2 linked regions of the Alligator mississippiensis genome follow. The protein of the gene in region 2 interacts with the protein of the main gene of each other region in a pairwise test. Links are inferred from orthologs where the notes say so. Each region holds a gene or a part of one and is shown on either strand. Other genes may lie near its edges.

Region 1 (7,847 bases), on a different chromosome or scaffold from region 2:
GGGGCCCTTGCCTTCCCCACAGATCATTCTGGAGGTAGGGTAGGGGTGGGTTCCCTTAAGTGCCTTAGCTTGCTAGATTTACAAGGGTTGCCCAGTGGGCTAGCAGTGGCGATAACCTCCCCAACCCCTGGTGGGCTTAGTTTAAAGCCCGGTCGAGCAGGTCAGCCAATCTGGCTGAGAAGAACTTCCTCCCCAGCGGAGTGAGGTGGAGGCTCTCTCTCCCCAGCAGACTGCTCTTTGGTGAGAGAGGCAGTGGACTGCGATCATAGAAGCCTAAGCCTTCATGATGACACCAGCGCTTCAGTCTTTGGTTGACTACCTTGATCCTCCTCTCCCTCCTCAGCCCATAGCCCGAAACTGGGAGGATTGAGGAAAACACCACCTGTGCCCCCAACCCCTTAAACCCCGCTCCCAAAACAATGTGGCATCTCATAACATGGCTGGGATTGCTCCGAGCCGTGTCATTCATGCCCACGTGGATAAAGGAGCATAGGGTAGTGGTTGTTGGGCTGGATGAGTTTAGGGATCCTCTTGGCCATGTCCTGGACACGGGTTCCCAGGAAGCAGCAGACCTCCTGGGCTAAGGGGGTGGGGCGACAGATTGCACCCTCAGTCACCCTCAGGAGGGAGTCTCCCACAACCACCACTCTACGAGTGGCCTTAGGGAGAGCAGGAATGGTAGTTGTGGGTGAGCCTGCATTGCCAGCAGCAGCTGGCAGCTCTGCAGGCTCTACTGGGGCTGCAAGAGATTTGTACCTGTTGCAAAACTCCAGAGGGGAGGGGACCTTGGTGCAGCGGGCCTTGGGGCCGCTGACCACCTTGGTCCAACCCCCTGGCCGGACTGTGTGGGAGATCCCTGAGTCCTCCCTTGTCCTGGAAGGTGACCTTGGTCTACCCTCTGCCTCCAGGGAGTGAAGGACCTGGCAGTAGGAGTCTATCTCCTGCTTGCCATCCCTGATGGCACGTAGTCTCTGGACTGTGGCCTGGAGCTCCTCAATCTGGTGCCCCAGAGACTACAAAGTGGAGCAAACCCTGCAAGAGGAGGTGGTCATGGTCCTGGTCCCACGTGCCTGGCAATGTGCCAGGCAACCAAGAGCCAGAGGCTCTGTCTGCATGGAGCCCAGAACTGTGGGTTCCATCTGGGTGAAGGCCTCTGAGGTGCCAGAGGGAGAGGCTGCAGATTCCAAGGGGACCCTTGGGGTGTGGCGTGTGCCCATCCACGTTGTGCCGCTGGTAATCTGGCTACTGATGGCACTAGCTTCCCTAGGACTCACTAGCAGGGCCTCGGGCCCTCCCGCTCACCATCCTGAGTGAACTCCCACGCTAAGCCATGCGCCGGGCCCAGAAGCACGCCTATTTGTGTGTCCTGTTTGTGTGGCTCCCTGGGGGGCTGGGCCAAATAGGAGCCAGGACAGGGCAAGACCCTCTTTGGCTCCTCTCAGCTGCCTCGCCGCAGCTGAGCTACCCTAGTCCCCTCCCACCACAGGCCCCACTTACCTCCGGCTGTGCTGGGGGTCATCGGGGTGCTCTGTGGCTGTTGGAGGTTGCTGGGGGGCTTCAGGGTGTGGGGGCGTGGCAGGCATGCACCCATGCATCTCGTGCCACTCTGAGCCAACATCTTGTTAAGAGTTTGGCCTGTCTATTTAATTGAGGACCCATACCTTCCTTTGTTTTTCTCTTCTGGCCTAATTTCTAATATAATAAAAGCCTTAGACCCTCTGTCCATCTGTCTGTCTGTCCGTCCAGAATACTCTGGCCCAACTGTGCATACGCTGCCAAGAGGGCGGGTGGGATGGGTTGTGCTCAGGCTGGGCTGAGTAATGGGGCAGTTGGAGCCCAGTGGTTCCTCCAGGGGTGAGGACAGGCGGCTTCTGCAGCTGCGTGCACCACGGGGGAACCAGGGCACATTCTCCCTCACTTTGGCTCCCTGGTGCCATGGCCCTGGACCACCCACTGGGCTTTGATTGCCCCATGCCCTGGCCCAGCCGGGGCCCTGTTCACAGTGAATGTGGCCCCACCTGGGCCGGGTCATGGGACAATTGGAGCCTGGCAGCTCCTCCAGAGGCATGACACCAAGGAGCGGAGCAGGGGGGCACATTGTCCCCTGTCTGTGCACAGGGCAAGGGTGGGCTTTGCTTCTGCTTCCTGCCTTGCTACTACTTCGACAGTGGTGCGGCACCATGGCCTGCTACACAGCGGGACTCGCATGGTGCTGTACCGCGCCGCTGTCAAAGCAGCGGCAGCGAGGCAGGGAGCAGAGGTAGATCCTGCCCCTACCCTATGCACAGACTGGGGGCCCCCAGCTTCCCAGCACCACACCTCTGGAGGAGCTGCTGGGGTCCGCTTGTCCCACAAACCGGGGGGCCCCAGTCACTGTGAAAGGGGCACCGGCATGGCTGGGTCGTGGGGTAATCCCCACAGTGCAGGAGGGAGTGGGGCAGGAGCAAGTAATTTGCCCCTGCCCCACTCCCTCCTGCACTTTGTCTCCCTCTCTGCCCTCCCAAGCCCAGACAGGCGGAGCGGGGTGGAGCAGGGCCAGAGCCAGAGTGGTGGTGGGGAGCAAGGGTGTGGCGGGGGGAGTGGGGTGGAGCTCAGAGTGGTGAAGTGGGGGGCATGGTGGGGGCAGTGGGTCTGGGCCTGGGCCTGGTGTGACAGGAAGGTGGGGCGGAGCTGGACACGGGGCTCCATCCCCGCCCACCTGCCCCCCACGGTCATTCTTTACGGGGAATTTGCTAGTATTTTTATAATGTCTTTTTGTTGCCCTTAACTTGCTTTACCAGGTGAAGTTTATTTTTTACTCTTGCCTTCCTGATTTTGTCCCTGCAAATTCTATTTCCTGGTATGCTTTCTTGGTAATCAGCCCATTTCTCCATTGCCTGTATGCTTTCCTTTTGCTTTTGAAGCATCTTAGAAGCTCCCTGTGCAGCCAGATTGCTCTCTTGCCATTCTTCTCATGCTTCTGTCATGTTGGAACAGCTTCTTGTTGACCTTCCAATACTCTTTAGAAGCTTCCAGCTGTCCTGGGTGCCTTTATCCTTTAGTCTGTCCTTCCATGACATGATGAGTACCATCTCCTTAAGTCACTTGAAAGCTGCCTTTATGAAATACAGTGTCCTAGTTCTGCTGATCTTACACTTTCCCAGTGTTAGGATCATAAATTCTATCATATTGTGATCTTTTTCTCGCCTTTGCATCCTCCACCAATTCTTCCCTATTAGTCAGGACAAAATCCAAGATAGATGATCTCCTAATTGTACCCTCAACTTTCTGGAAAAGAATGCTGTTCTCCACACAAGGTAGAAACTTGCTTGACTTTTTATGTTTGGCTATATGATTCTTCCAGTAGGTGTCTGGAATATCAAAGTCTCCCATCAAGACAATCTCATAACTGAGATAAATTTTGTCACTTTCTTGAAGTGTCTCATCCACACTTTCATCCTTTGTAGTCTATGATAAACCCTCACCATTTTATTGGTGCTGTATTTTTCACCTTTTATTTTCACCCACATATATTCTGACCTTCTTTCTGAACTGGAGAACAAATATGTATTTTTGACATACAAAGCAAATGCCACCTTTTCTCCCAATCCTGTCTTTCCAAAAAGAGAGTGTAGCTCTCACTGCTGAAATTCCAGTCATGGAAGCTGTCCCACCAAGTCTCTGTGATATCGTAGGAACATAAGAACTGACATGTATTGGGTCAGATCATAGGTCCATCTTCCCAGTATTATCCTGTGTCACACAGAGGCAGAGATTGGATGCTGAGAGGGAGAACAAATGGGTTTTTTTTTCACTGTTCATCTCTCACTTGCACCCTCCAGCATAGGTGACCACTTGTGAATCATGCCATTTTTTTACTTTGGCCTCTAAAGTCCATCTTGGAGGCACCAATATTGAAATCGCCACCCTTGGGAACAGAAGTGGATCCAGATGGTGCACTTGCACCCCCTTTGATTCCTGCTTCACCTTTAGTTTACAACCACCTGTTTGGCAGTACCAGCAGCATTTCTAGACTCTTCATCCACGTGTTAGCGACCCACTCTTCTTTTTCATGGGCTTGATGTTCCACCAGTCAAGCTAACCTCTGCTCTGCCATGCTGCTGTCTGCTTGTGGGAACGAGCTCTCTCACAGCCCTGCAGGTTTAACTCTCTTTGTTATTGTGTTGCTTCAATCTAACAGAATGACACAGCCCCAGGCCCCTATCCCTGAAACTTCAGGTTTATTTTTAACTAGAAGGGTGGTTGTTGCTTTATAGGTGATGATCCACCACGCTGCGGGCACCCCGTTTCCAGCGCCTGCATCCGCCCAGGCTTGGGAGCAACTCAGTTCTCGCAGGGGAACAGCTTGATAGACCAGGAGGAAACTAAGCAGCTGTGCAAGGCCTAGGCCCTAGCCCCGGACCCGGTGCAAGCCGAACTGGGAACTACGGGCCAAAGCCTACCCGGCTCACAAGGGGCCTGTTCCCGTGAAGCGAGAGCGGAGGGAGACAGAGGAGGAACCTAGGCCAAGCTGCACCCCGCGGAGGCGCTTGCAGGGACCACGGGGGGCCGTATGGTAACAGCCCGAGGCCGGAGCACCCCTTCCCCTCCCTATTAGCAGCGCAGCGAAGCCGCCGCGCGAGCAACTGCCGCTTGACGCTGGGCCTCGCAGCCCCCGGAGGCGGGACGGCAGGGCATGCTGGGTCTTGTGGTCCGCAGCCGCCGCAACGGCTTCGGCTCCGCGCCAGCGCGCGCAGCTGCGTCCGGGCGTCGTCACGTGCCTGGGGCCGCGCGCCCCGTCACTCAGCAACGGCGCTGCCCCCCCCAACGGCGCGCCCCGCCCCTCCCCGCGGCTCGTCACGGAACGTCCGTGCCCCGCCCCCCGCGAACCGCCGCCGGAGCCGCCTCGCAGGAGCTGGGAGCCGCCGCCGCCGCCGCCATGGCCGAGAACGCTGCCGCCGCCGCGGGCCTGGAGAACCACCGCATCAAGAGCTTCAAGAACAAGGGCCGCGACGTGGAGGTGAGCGCCGGGCCCTGCGCGCCGCGCCCCCCCAGCCGGCTCCCGCGGCCCGGCCCGGCGGGGAGGGGCCGCCAGAAAAATGCCTCCGGGTTTTAATTCCCCGTCACGCGGGCGGGGCACGGGGGCGGATCCTTCCCCCCTCACGCCGCCGGGCGCGGGGTGCGGGCAGGGCCCCCCATCCCCTCCCCTCCCCTCCCCAGCGCTGCCGGCCGGGCTGGGCCCTGTGGCCGCCGCTGTCGCCTCCCTCATCGGTGGTTCCGGGCGCTGGAGGCGGCGCTCGCGGGCCCCGGAGGCGGCGCTGAGCGCGCGCCCACCCAGCACCTCCCCCCCAGCCGCGGGGGCAGGCCGTGCCTGGGCCGCTAAAGGGGGTTGGATCCCGGCGGGGTGTGGGGGCTGCGGTAGGCCTCTGCGTGGCACCCGGCTGCCTTCCCCGACTCGTGTTGTTGGCCGAGCAGGTGGTGGGGAGCCTCTGTTGTCTTCCAGCTGAGATCAGGGGAGGGGAGATAAAGAGTGAGAGTCAACCTGCCGGAGAGAAAGGGGTGCGGAGCCTCGCTCTGACAGCTTTGCGCTCACCCGTGGGCGGCCGGCTCAGTCCAAAACGGGCTCTGAAGCAGCATCCCCCTCCCCCCAGCTCCTATGGGCTGGGGCAGAATTCGCACTTTAGCTGCTATTGTTTGGGTGGAGGCCAGTCTGTGCAGGCCTAGCTCAGCAGTAGCCTGCCTTTGTACAGATGACATTCACAATGGAAACTAATCTCTATCTCCGTGTATATGGCACTTGCTGGGGGTGAATCTGTGGGAAATAATGCTTTCTGCAAGGTGGATGCACTTGTGAAGGGACGGTTGTGTGCCTGGCAGTCCAGCAGTGGTAACTAAATTATTGTTATCTTTTTTTTTTCTTTTTTTTTTTAAGGGCCCCACCCTTAGATTAAGTAGCTGGCTTCATTACTGGTTCTTGCCTGCTTCTCGCCCTGTGAAATCGTTCATCCTCCTTTCCCGTCTCCCTATATTGAGAATATTGATTTTGCTTCATTGTTTCTGCGGAAATCAGGATCTTCATTTTCTGTCTCCCCAGCAGCTGGCCGAGCTGGTTAGAGAACTAAGTGGGGGCAGGCTGATATTCTCACTTGGTATGTCTTGCCATCTAGGCTTCCTGATATGTGGGCTTGTTTGAAGCTGGTGGCTAGTGAGCTCAGAAAAGGATGTTTCTGTTTACAAAGGGGAAACTGCCATAGCTGTCTCAAGAGAATTATTCAGCTTTAGTTGTGCTGGTGTACCTCCCTTGTGTGGCTGCTGTTCTCAAGTAGTTAATCTGCATTAATTGCTCTTATTATGGTTATTCTGTGGTCAGTTTTCCTGAATAGACTAGCCCTGAAGCTTCCCAGCTCAGTGGGTCACAATACTTAGCCCTGGTGGAGTGTAAAAGGTTCTGTACTAGAGCTAAAAGGTGATAAGGGAGAAAGCTTGTTCAGCATTAATTTCTGTACCCCCAATTTTTATTATTCTCTAAAGAAGTAAGGTAGTACTTAAAAAGCTTTAAAGTCACAGAAGAAATTAGATATTCGGTATAAAGGTTATGAATGCTTTACATTAAATTTAGTCGGTTTAAAAAACAAACAAACAATTTAAGCAGAACTCTTAAGAATCAGAATGTGGCTTGTGTTAAATATTTGGTGATTTTCAATATTTCTTGTCTGTTGACTTCCTGATTGACTTCCTGTTTAGCATGGAGGTCATTCCTGAAACTGGTGGTAAAAGTACCCTCATCAGTAGCTTTGCTTTAACCAGTTGTTATACCAGTGTATCTACTAGGATTATTTTAAAAGACTTGATGAGTTTACTATTGGGCAGGAGTATTTGCCCCCAATGGGGCACTAGGCTGGATCTGGACTGCAGGGCTCCTTGTGGGTTGGATCCAACCTGGGGCAGGAGGGCTGCCTCAGTAGCCACCATGGTGCAGGGCGGGCACTGCAGGTCTGGTGGGGGCTGGAGGAACACTGGAGTCTGGTGGCAGCAAGCCAAGCTTACTACTGATTGCCATGCCCAGCAGGGCCAAAGGGTCCAACTGTGCAGTCTGGTGGGCAGGATAGGGAGACTGTAGGCCAAATATGGCCTGCTGGCTCAATGATTGACACCCCTGCTCTAGGGAATACCACATGTGTTGAACTGTTCTTTTGAACAAGAGGTGCTGACTTGCAGGTTTGTTGCAGTGTAAAATGAATTGTATGCCAGGCAAAGCATTTACATCCTGTGATATGGCTATGGACCTGGTAACTAGTATAATTGAGTAACAGCTGTAAGGATGGCATCTTAAAGTCTAACTCTTTAATTCTAAAGTAGATAGATTGCAGTCCATTTCATTCAGCTGTGTGGTGCCATCATTGACTATAGGAGAGGTAGTTAACTTTGTTAGTCTAAGATCAGGAAGGGTAGGGGGCACAAGTTAGTCTTTAACTTGTTGCACTCTCTCTCTCCTAGTTGAGAATTGCTTGCTTTGAGCCTTTTGCCACAGTGAAGGTGCTTTTTATATAATATAGGAAATTCTTCCAAAATTATTGCCTTTACGTTTGTAGATAACTTTTTTAAACAAAAGAGGAACTCTAGAAACCAGGAGGAATACCACTGATCATTTGGGATGTTCAAGTGAGCTGAGATCTTTGTAAGGTAACGTTCGTAGAAAAATGAACTATTCTGGATGTTGGACTTGTATGTGCTGATTTATCTACCTTACAGTATTGCTTTTTTTAGGACATCTTAACTGTTAAATGCCTTATTTCCAAAAGAGGTTCACTGATATATCGGTTGTGTATCAGATTAGCACTGATTAAAAGGAAAATGAATGTTATTGG
Region 2 (7,962 bases):
GTCCTTCAGCGGGGTGTAGCCTATAGGAGCCCATGGAGGGGGCCTGTGTGATGAGGGTCCTGGGTATTCTGCACAGCCTGTGTCGGGGGGCTCAGATGGTGTGCAGCACCCCCTATACTGCAGCTGCTCAAAAGTTGGACAGCCCTGTCTTAGATACTAATGATTTAAACTTTCTCAGGAAGTAAGGGACCTGAGTTCTAGGCCCTGTTCAGCCTGAAGGGTTCACACCTACTTTTCCCATGTCCCAGAAGAATAACTAACTACTAGGGCCTAGGCCATAGACTAATTTGAGTGCTGAAGCCCAGCAGATGCAGCAGCCTGCTCTGGTGCAAAAGACCTCCATCTTTCCCGTTGCAGCTCTACTACTATGCAGAAAAGAAGGCACACAGCAAGGGCAAGAGAGATTCTGGCAGCCTTCAGGGAACAGATATAGGCACCTGTCCTTCGGAGAGGAATTTGGGCTCTAGGTTTCAAGCAAGTGGAACCTTTGCTCAATTCCATCCTTTGCCTGAATGATAGAAGGGGATGGGAGTTCAGCCTTAGGCCAGTACTTAGCGTTTTTTATTGGCTAGCTCTAGGCAGTTGCCTCAAATCCCACCTTGAAGTGTCTTAACTTTCTCTGTGCAGGGAATCCAGGCACCTAACTGCATTCTGTTCTAGAGGCTATGTACCTACAAATTGTGTATTAGGGAGTCTAACTTGTCAGGATTGAAGTTGGACCTAGCCCTACAAGGAACTCTGATACTTCTTTTATTTAACTTAAAATAATCAAATATAGGCTTGACTAAATAAAAAATTTTCCATAGCTGAGGGGATACTCTGGAGCATCCATGTCAGGGAAGACAGCAAAGCTGAATTTGTATGGAACCAAAATCTATTTAAAAAAATCTTGTGTTAGTAATTGGAGCTTATGCTGCAGCTTTTCTCCAAACGAATGACAACAGCTGGCATAGCACTTATTCAATAAACAGAAATCAGTGATGTGAAAACAGGATGTACAGAAGTAAGAAAACAGAAGTGTAGGATTTACTGTGCAGTTACTTTTGCACTAAATAGGTCACATTTGTTCCTTTGCTACTTTTCGAAAAACATGTGCCTGAGTTGTCAGAGTTTTTAATTACACAGGGAAAATATTCCTTCCTTGTTTTAACTAATCTAACTTGTATAATGGGGGAGTTGCGATTAAACATATTCTAGCACCAGTTTTAAAACCAGCAGTTGTAACTGTATGGAAAATTCATTGCAATACCACATTGATTTTTTTTTTAATTGGATGGGCACTGACAGACATATTGACTTAAAAAAACAGCTTTATAATAGTAAGCTGTAAATTTAGCAGTAATTAATTTTGAATAGCAGAAGAAAATACCCTGGGATGTGGCACATCAGGCATGAGAGAGGAGTCCTTCCTTCTGGGAAATCAAAGTATTTGGAACATGTTTTATGGTCAAATAGGACAAGATATGAAGAGGTTATTCTAATTCAGTGAATGCTATACAAGTAAAGAGGAAGTCCATATAAACATAAAACATCATGCTGGTATTTAGTGCAGTAATATAGGTACAAAATAAATTTAGTTTGACTTTGACCTATACCTGCCTCAAAACAAGGGACTGGAAAACAGGAAAAAATGGGACCTCTTCCAGATTAAATTATTCACTTTGACAAGAATTGATGATGCGTTGCCAACTTTCAGCATAGCTTCCTGTAAAAATGTCTCCATTTACCCTGGTCAATGCCTTTGTTCTGCAATAAATGCATAGGGAGAAAGGAAGAGTAGGGAGGTGTTTGGCTTTTCCATTTTGATAAAGTAAGAATCAAGCAGCAATAGCGGTTGGCAAGCAAGTGTGTATTAAGTGCAGTTGCTGGAAATGGGTATAATCTGTTCTGTAAAACTATACTGAGTACTGATAGTACAGCAGTATTTGGCAAGTGTAATTTGCACTGTGTGTATAATGTATGAAATACATACTTCGGCCTGATAGTGGCTTCCGAAGATCTCTTGATTAATACATCCAATACCAGCCTTTGTCCATTCCAAGGAAAAAGCTACTTTTAGGACTTGTTTTTATGAGTTTATACATCGTTAGCTCTGTCGCTCAAGGGAAACGATAAGCATCCCTTCCACATCCTACATTACTGAGTTGAGCTTTTTAGTTTAATTGAATATACCCCTTCCCCTGACAAAAATGCGTCTTTGCCTTGCTTTGTACAATGTCTGTGAGTGAGAAGTACAGTCTGGTCTTCTGCTTCAAAGGGCAGGAGATACTGCTTGGCTGCTGCCATGTCCCACAGGAGAGGGCATGATTATTGCTTTGGCAATGCCCATCCACTCTGCTCTGCTGGTCCAAACATAATGAGTGGGGTGTACCCAGCCCTTGCTTTTAAGAAAGCATGAAAGCCAGGCCTACTGAAAATGGGCATAAAAATGAAAGGAGGGGTAGGCTGGGGGAGAGCTCCATTGGACTTCTACTTCAGGGTGTCTCCTGACATGGGCAACTGAAGCCCAGTGATCCTGTTGACTTGTTGTGGAGGGTCTGTGCATTAGTTGTGTGTGCATTTTTTTACATACAAGTTTTAAGTAAACGGGTTTAGAAATGGATTTGCATGTTGAGTTTCAAATGTATATTCTTTGTACATGTATGCAGTAAACACCCCCGCAGGGCTGGTGAAGTGGGGATGTGCTTGTCAGAAGCTGTAAGTGGCACCCCAGCAGTCTGGTTGGTTCTCTCACTTGGGTTACTTCAGCTTGTCCCCCTTGGAGGTTTGATGCTCTGTGCCATCCCACCCCTGGGTAACTGCCTTCACTTCTGTGGGGGAGTCCTGAACACCCTTTTTTGCTGTGCTGGGTGTGTCACTATGTTTCACCTCCCGGATGCTCTGATCCTAGAAATAGCTCGATCTGAATGAGAGAAGCAAATCAAGAGCAGTGAATTGTGAGGCACAGTTTCAAGGGAGTCGAGATACCCAGGCCAGCGATGGCACCTGATGGTAGTAAGTCATGACCCTAGGAAAGAACAATGGTCACGAATCATGACTCTGTTTCCTTACTCCCTACTGAATAGGTCAAGAGCTCCTTATCTTAGAAGGAGGAGTGGGAATTCAGACACTTGAACCTGAAGGGTATAAGACTCCCCCAGACAAAGGCAGAGGTGGGCGAGCGTGGAGCTTGCCTCACACCCTGGGGGCCCTGGTGTAGCAGAAAGCCCCCTTTTCCTCTTGCCTGCATTTGCTCTCCCCTCTTAGAATATGTTTTTCCTCTTCTACCTTTTCTTCCTTCCTCTTTCTTTCACTTTAAGATAAGGAATTGTGTTTTAAAATTTGTATGTGTGCATTTTGTATCTCCCCTTGTATTTTGGTATTTTTATCTATTTGTGTGCCATGGCATTACTCTTGTAGCTTATATTTTATACTCCTCACCTTTCAACTTTCAACTATAAATGTCTTTAGTAACAATGTTAACAAGGGCAGGAGTCAAACTGTTGCTTCCCTGTATCAGGCTGGCCCCTGAAAGAGCGAGTGAATCAGTGACTGAATGCATAACACAGTAGCAGACAGCAATTAACACCTAGGGAAACCGCAGATCAACCAATGGAAGAAATCAATAGAAGACAATGTAACAACCGGGAAATCTCTAAACTTCACTGTTCAAGGGCTAGAAGCCCTGGTCTGAGTTAATCAACGCCGGGGACCAACTTTTGGGATGAATATCTCCAGATCGACCGCTCCCAGAGCCCTATTCAAAATTAATCAACGGACGCTCCACGAGGGTCAACGACCCGTGGATTGGGCAAACCTGAAAACTGGGAAGTCACCAAAGTCTGCCAAGGACAGGTAAAAAGCAGTGAAAAGTGACCGTTAGGGGCGCCCTCTTGATCTCCAACTTGACCAGCACCTGACCTGTCCAGTCAGAAGGACCAGCCGGCGACCCCCTTCTGGAAGATAACACCACGCTGGAAGAAGCCTCAACGGCAGACTCCAGCGCCTGTGGGATAGCTATACCTGACTCTCGGAGCTTGCTACTGTGGGGGTGTGCATGTGTGCGTGTGGGCATCAGCTCCAAGGCTTATGATTTAACTTCATTACAGTGTTTCAATCCGCCTAATAAACCAGAATTTTAAGGATCCTGAGTTGGACATTTGTAGCCAACACTGGGACCTGGCACCGCGCAATGAGCCGGGTTTCTCTCTGCATGTCCCTGCTCTCGGGGACGCTGCCTGACTGCTAATGCCCCAGTGCGCTGGTGTCTGCTTCCGAGGGAAAAGCAATCAGGACCGTGGTAGAGGTGAAATCTTTTAGATTTTTGCAAAAAACATGATTTAATTGCAAGCTTTGGGGGCGGGGGGGTAAAAGTCTAGTTGCTCTAATAAAAGAGATCTCCTCTACCACAAGTCCTGATTGCTTTTGCCTCCAGACCAAGCCAGCTACAACCTAGATATTCAGAGGAACTTGCTCTGTCTTCTCTGGATAAAACACGAGCTCACACCCCCCGGGACACCCCCATGCCCTACCCCACTGCGACGGGGGCAGCTCGGGGGCGCACCCAACGTGCCAGTCTCCTTTCTAGGAGCTGTGGGGGCTGCTATGAATCAGGTCCCCCCTCTCCCCTCCGCCTGGCTCAGCCGCCGGGCACGAAGCATCGGCACCGCATAGCCAGCAGAGGGCGCCCGCGTGCCGAGTACCCGAGCGGCGCTAGGACCCGCCCACTAGCAGAGCCAAGTGGGCGGAGCGCCCGGAGGGAGCGTGGCTCCGTTCGTCACTGCAGCTCTCAACCAAGCTTGTCATTTCCCTCCCTACCCTGCTAGTGGCGGGGAGGGCGAATCCCGGGTCCTCGATCTTCGTTTCTGATTGGCGGATGAGGCTGTCGCTCCCCCCCCTCCACCCGTTGCCCTCGTGAGCGCCTCCGCGCGGGGCACGACGGGACGTGGCCAAGATGGCGGCGAGGTAACCCGGAGCCATCGCGGCCCCTGCAGCGTCTCGCCCGTTCCTCGCGGCGCCATGGCCACTATGGAGAAGCTGATGAAGGCCTTCGAGTCGCTGCGCTCCTTCCAGCAGCAGCAGGGCCCGGCCACCGTCCCCGAGGAGCCGCTGCACAGGCCGTGAGTGCCGGGTCGGGCCGAGGGACCCCCCGAGGCGGCAGGGAGGCAGCTCCCGCCGGGCCGCGGGCTCCTGCTGCTGCCGCGGAGCCGCTGCCCAGGGAAGCTGTGGGCTTGCCCCTGTCGGCAGAGGCGGTGCGGGCCCTGGCCGGGGCGGTGTCGGCGTCTGCCTTCTGCTACGGGGGCTGCCCCCGCTGGCCGGCTCCCCGTGTCTGAGGGGCTGAGCCTCCCTCAGAGGCGCTGGGTGTTGGCTGCTGCTGGCACCAAACCCGGAGGTTTCTGGCTGGAGGGCCTTGCCCCTCTGCTCGGGGTCAGTCCGGTCGCCACATTTCATGCCAGGGAGAAATTTTTAAGCTATGGTCAGGTTGGTGCAGGCTGAGGGGGTTTTGCTTTCCTTTGCAGGATTTGTTGAGCGATGTCAACAACATCTCATAGAAACAGGACGCTGGCTTCAGCGGCGCTCCTGCTTTACCTGGGGCAGGCTCGGGTGTGTTGTGTCAGGGCTGGCGGTCATCTTAGGCACGGTTTAGATTATGGTTTGAATAGGGATGATCCTGTGTGGGGCAGGGTTGGACTGGATGAGCTCTGAAGGTCCCTTCCGCCCCTGCTTCTGCGTGACTTGACGTCTCTGTTGTTAAGAGCTCAGAAAGACCCTGCAGGGCAGAATGGTTTTTAATGTTGTGGGTTCTTATTCTGGGGTTTCTCTTGTGAACCATGTTTGCGCAGCTAATGGTACTGACGTTGTGTGGCATCCTGTGGCACCCCGAAAGGGTCTCGCAGCACCCCAGAGTGCTGAGGTGCCTTGGTTGAGCTTCGCTGACTCGGTGCGTGGTGTAAAGTGGTGCGCACTTTACATTGGAAGGAGCAGAAGGACGGAGAATATGTAATTTCTGAAGTGGAGGTTTTGGCAGCTTTAGGCATGGAGCCAGTTAGCAGTGGAGCTGGATTCCTGGGCACCAATGCCAAACCCAGACATCAGGCAAGCTGAAGGCAGGGCAGTTTTGCCGCCTTATGGAGTATCCCAAGGAGATTATATATATATATATATATATATATATATATATATATATATAGCACAAGCTTTAGTGAGCCTAAGCTCACGTCAGATCCTCTGAAAGAATCTGCCTAGAGCCTGCATCAGGGAAGCTGACATGGTATACATTGTTTCAAGAGAGTTGTCTTGAATGATCTTTATTTATTTTTCATGTTCTTATGGCAGGGCATGTGAGGAGAGCCGCCTGTGCCTCTGCTATGGAATTATATCCAGCTTTTCTGCATGTGTTGGTGCCTCTTGCTTCTTGGAGGGTAGGCTGAGGCATTTTCATCACTGAACAGCTTTAATACAAGCTTTCTCTTATCCAGTTTAATTGCATGTATCCAGAAAGGTGTTGATAAAGTAGCCTCTTACAGTCCTTCTCCAAAAGAGCTCTGGCTGTGAATTACTGCAAATATGGGCATGAAATACAAAAATAAAAATTTGTCTTGGGAACCTGCAAAATAAACATTGAGAAATCAGACTCTGACCTGTCCTTATCAACTCTGTTGCAATTTAGAATTGGCATAGGAAATTGGTTGTTTTGGGAATCCCCAGGAACTGTATGAGTGAAGTTACAATACAACTGTACTCTAACACTACGAAGGGTTATATTGGTAGTCTTTGCTTTAATTTTTTAAAATGATTTTAATACCCACATCCAGAAAGCTTCAGGCATGTGCTTTAAACTGAACTAGGGATACTAATAAGGGAGAAAAGTCTTATCTTTTTCTGTATGTTTACTTTTCATTTAATAGACTTTTGTGTAAAGTCTTTCACTGCTTTACCTCCTACAACTGTTATTTACAATATGATAAACGATCTTCTCAGTTGTTCAACCGTTCAGTTGTTCAACAATCTAATCCAACAGTCTTCTTAATTGTTGGTTTAAATCTTTCATTTAGAAGGAACAAGGAAGAGAAGGTAACTTGAGAACTAGATGTGGCAAAACTACAAGCTGGCTGGGTGGCTTAGTGACATGTACTTGTTCTTACTGTGAAAAGTTATCACTGTAACTTACAAGACCTTGCTTACTCAATGTCACTGTATAAATTACAACTTCATATTGTAAATAACTTTGAAAATACAGGAATACTATTAGGATGTTGGGAGGCTTGGAATTCAGACAAAATCACTTTGTTTGTAAGAAGTACCTGCATATAGTATAAGATTATAATCCATTTCTGTTGGTTATAGGAGGGAAGCAACTTGTGAATTTGTTTTTCTCTCTCTCAACTTTTCCTTTTAAACATTATCAAGCTATTTACAAACTCTCTTATTTTTTTTAACTGCCACTTCTGTCTTGGAAGAATGCAAATACTGAGGGTCAACTATACTTAAATACTTTAATAAAATTCCATCTGAATGCTGCTGGGTTTTTTTTTTAATGCGGGAGGAGCAAGAGAGAACTTTTTAAAGCATTCCTTTGTGCCATCTTCAACTTGGATGTTGTTTAGTCACAAAACAGCAACCTGACTAGACATAAAAGTGAAACTACTAGTTTCTTGATTACTAATTTTGAAAATTACATTTAATAATAATATTAGTTTTGTAAGACGAGCGTTACCTAAAAGAACCACATTCTGTTGTATGGACAAATAAATATTTTTAGAAGTAGCTTTGGTAAAAGTTGTGACAGCATGGTGAACTTTCAGCATTTAGCACGTCCTCCTGAGGATATGGGCAAACTGTTCAGTTTGAAGTGAGTTAGAGGGGCAGGTGGGTGGGAGGGAAGAGGAGGATTTATTAGGGAGTAGGTGACTGCTCTACTCCACCTGAAGAGGACCCGCATGATGAGACTCTACACAGACTGAGAAACTTCCTCCAACCTAC

Evidence for each region. The genes of interacting proteins can lie anywhere in the genome.
Region 1: the proteins of HTT (region 2) and KPNA3 interact in binary tests that used the Homo sapiens proteins (3 or more experiments, as listed by UniProt). The link is inferred for Alligator mississippiensis from reciprocal best matches to the Homo sapiens genes HTT and KPNA3.

The regions. Positions count from the first base shown.
Region 1 is NC_081824.1:414,741,492-414,749,338, reverse strand, and holds the start of KPNA3 (importin subunit alpha-4), read left to right. Parts: upstream 1-4,845; 5' UTR 4,846-4,918; coding exon 4,919-4,999; intron 5,000-5,523; exon of another isoform or gene 5,524-5,866; intron 5,867-7,573; exon of another isoform or gene 7,574-7,662; intron 7,663-7,847. UniProt on the Homo sapiens protein: Functions in nuclear protein import as an adapter protein for nuclear receptor KPNB1. Binds specifically and directly to substrates containing either a simple or bipartite NLS motif.
Region 2 is NC_081825.1:21,137,322-21,145,283, forward strand, and holds the start of HTT (huntingtin), read left to right. Parts: upstream 1-4,919; 5' UTR 4,920-4,998; coding exon 4,999-5,099; intron 5,100-7,962.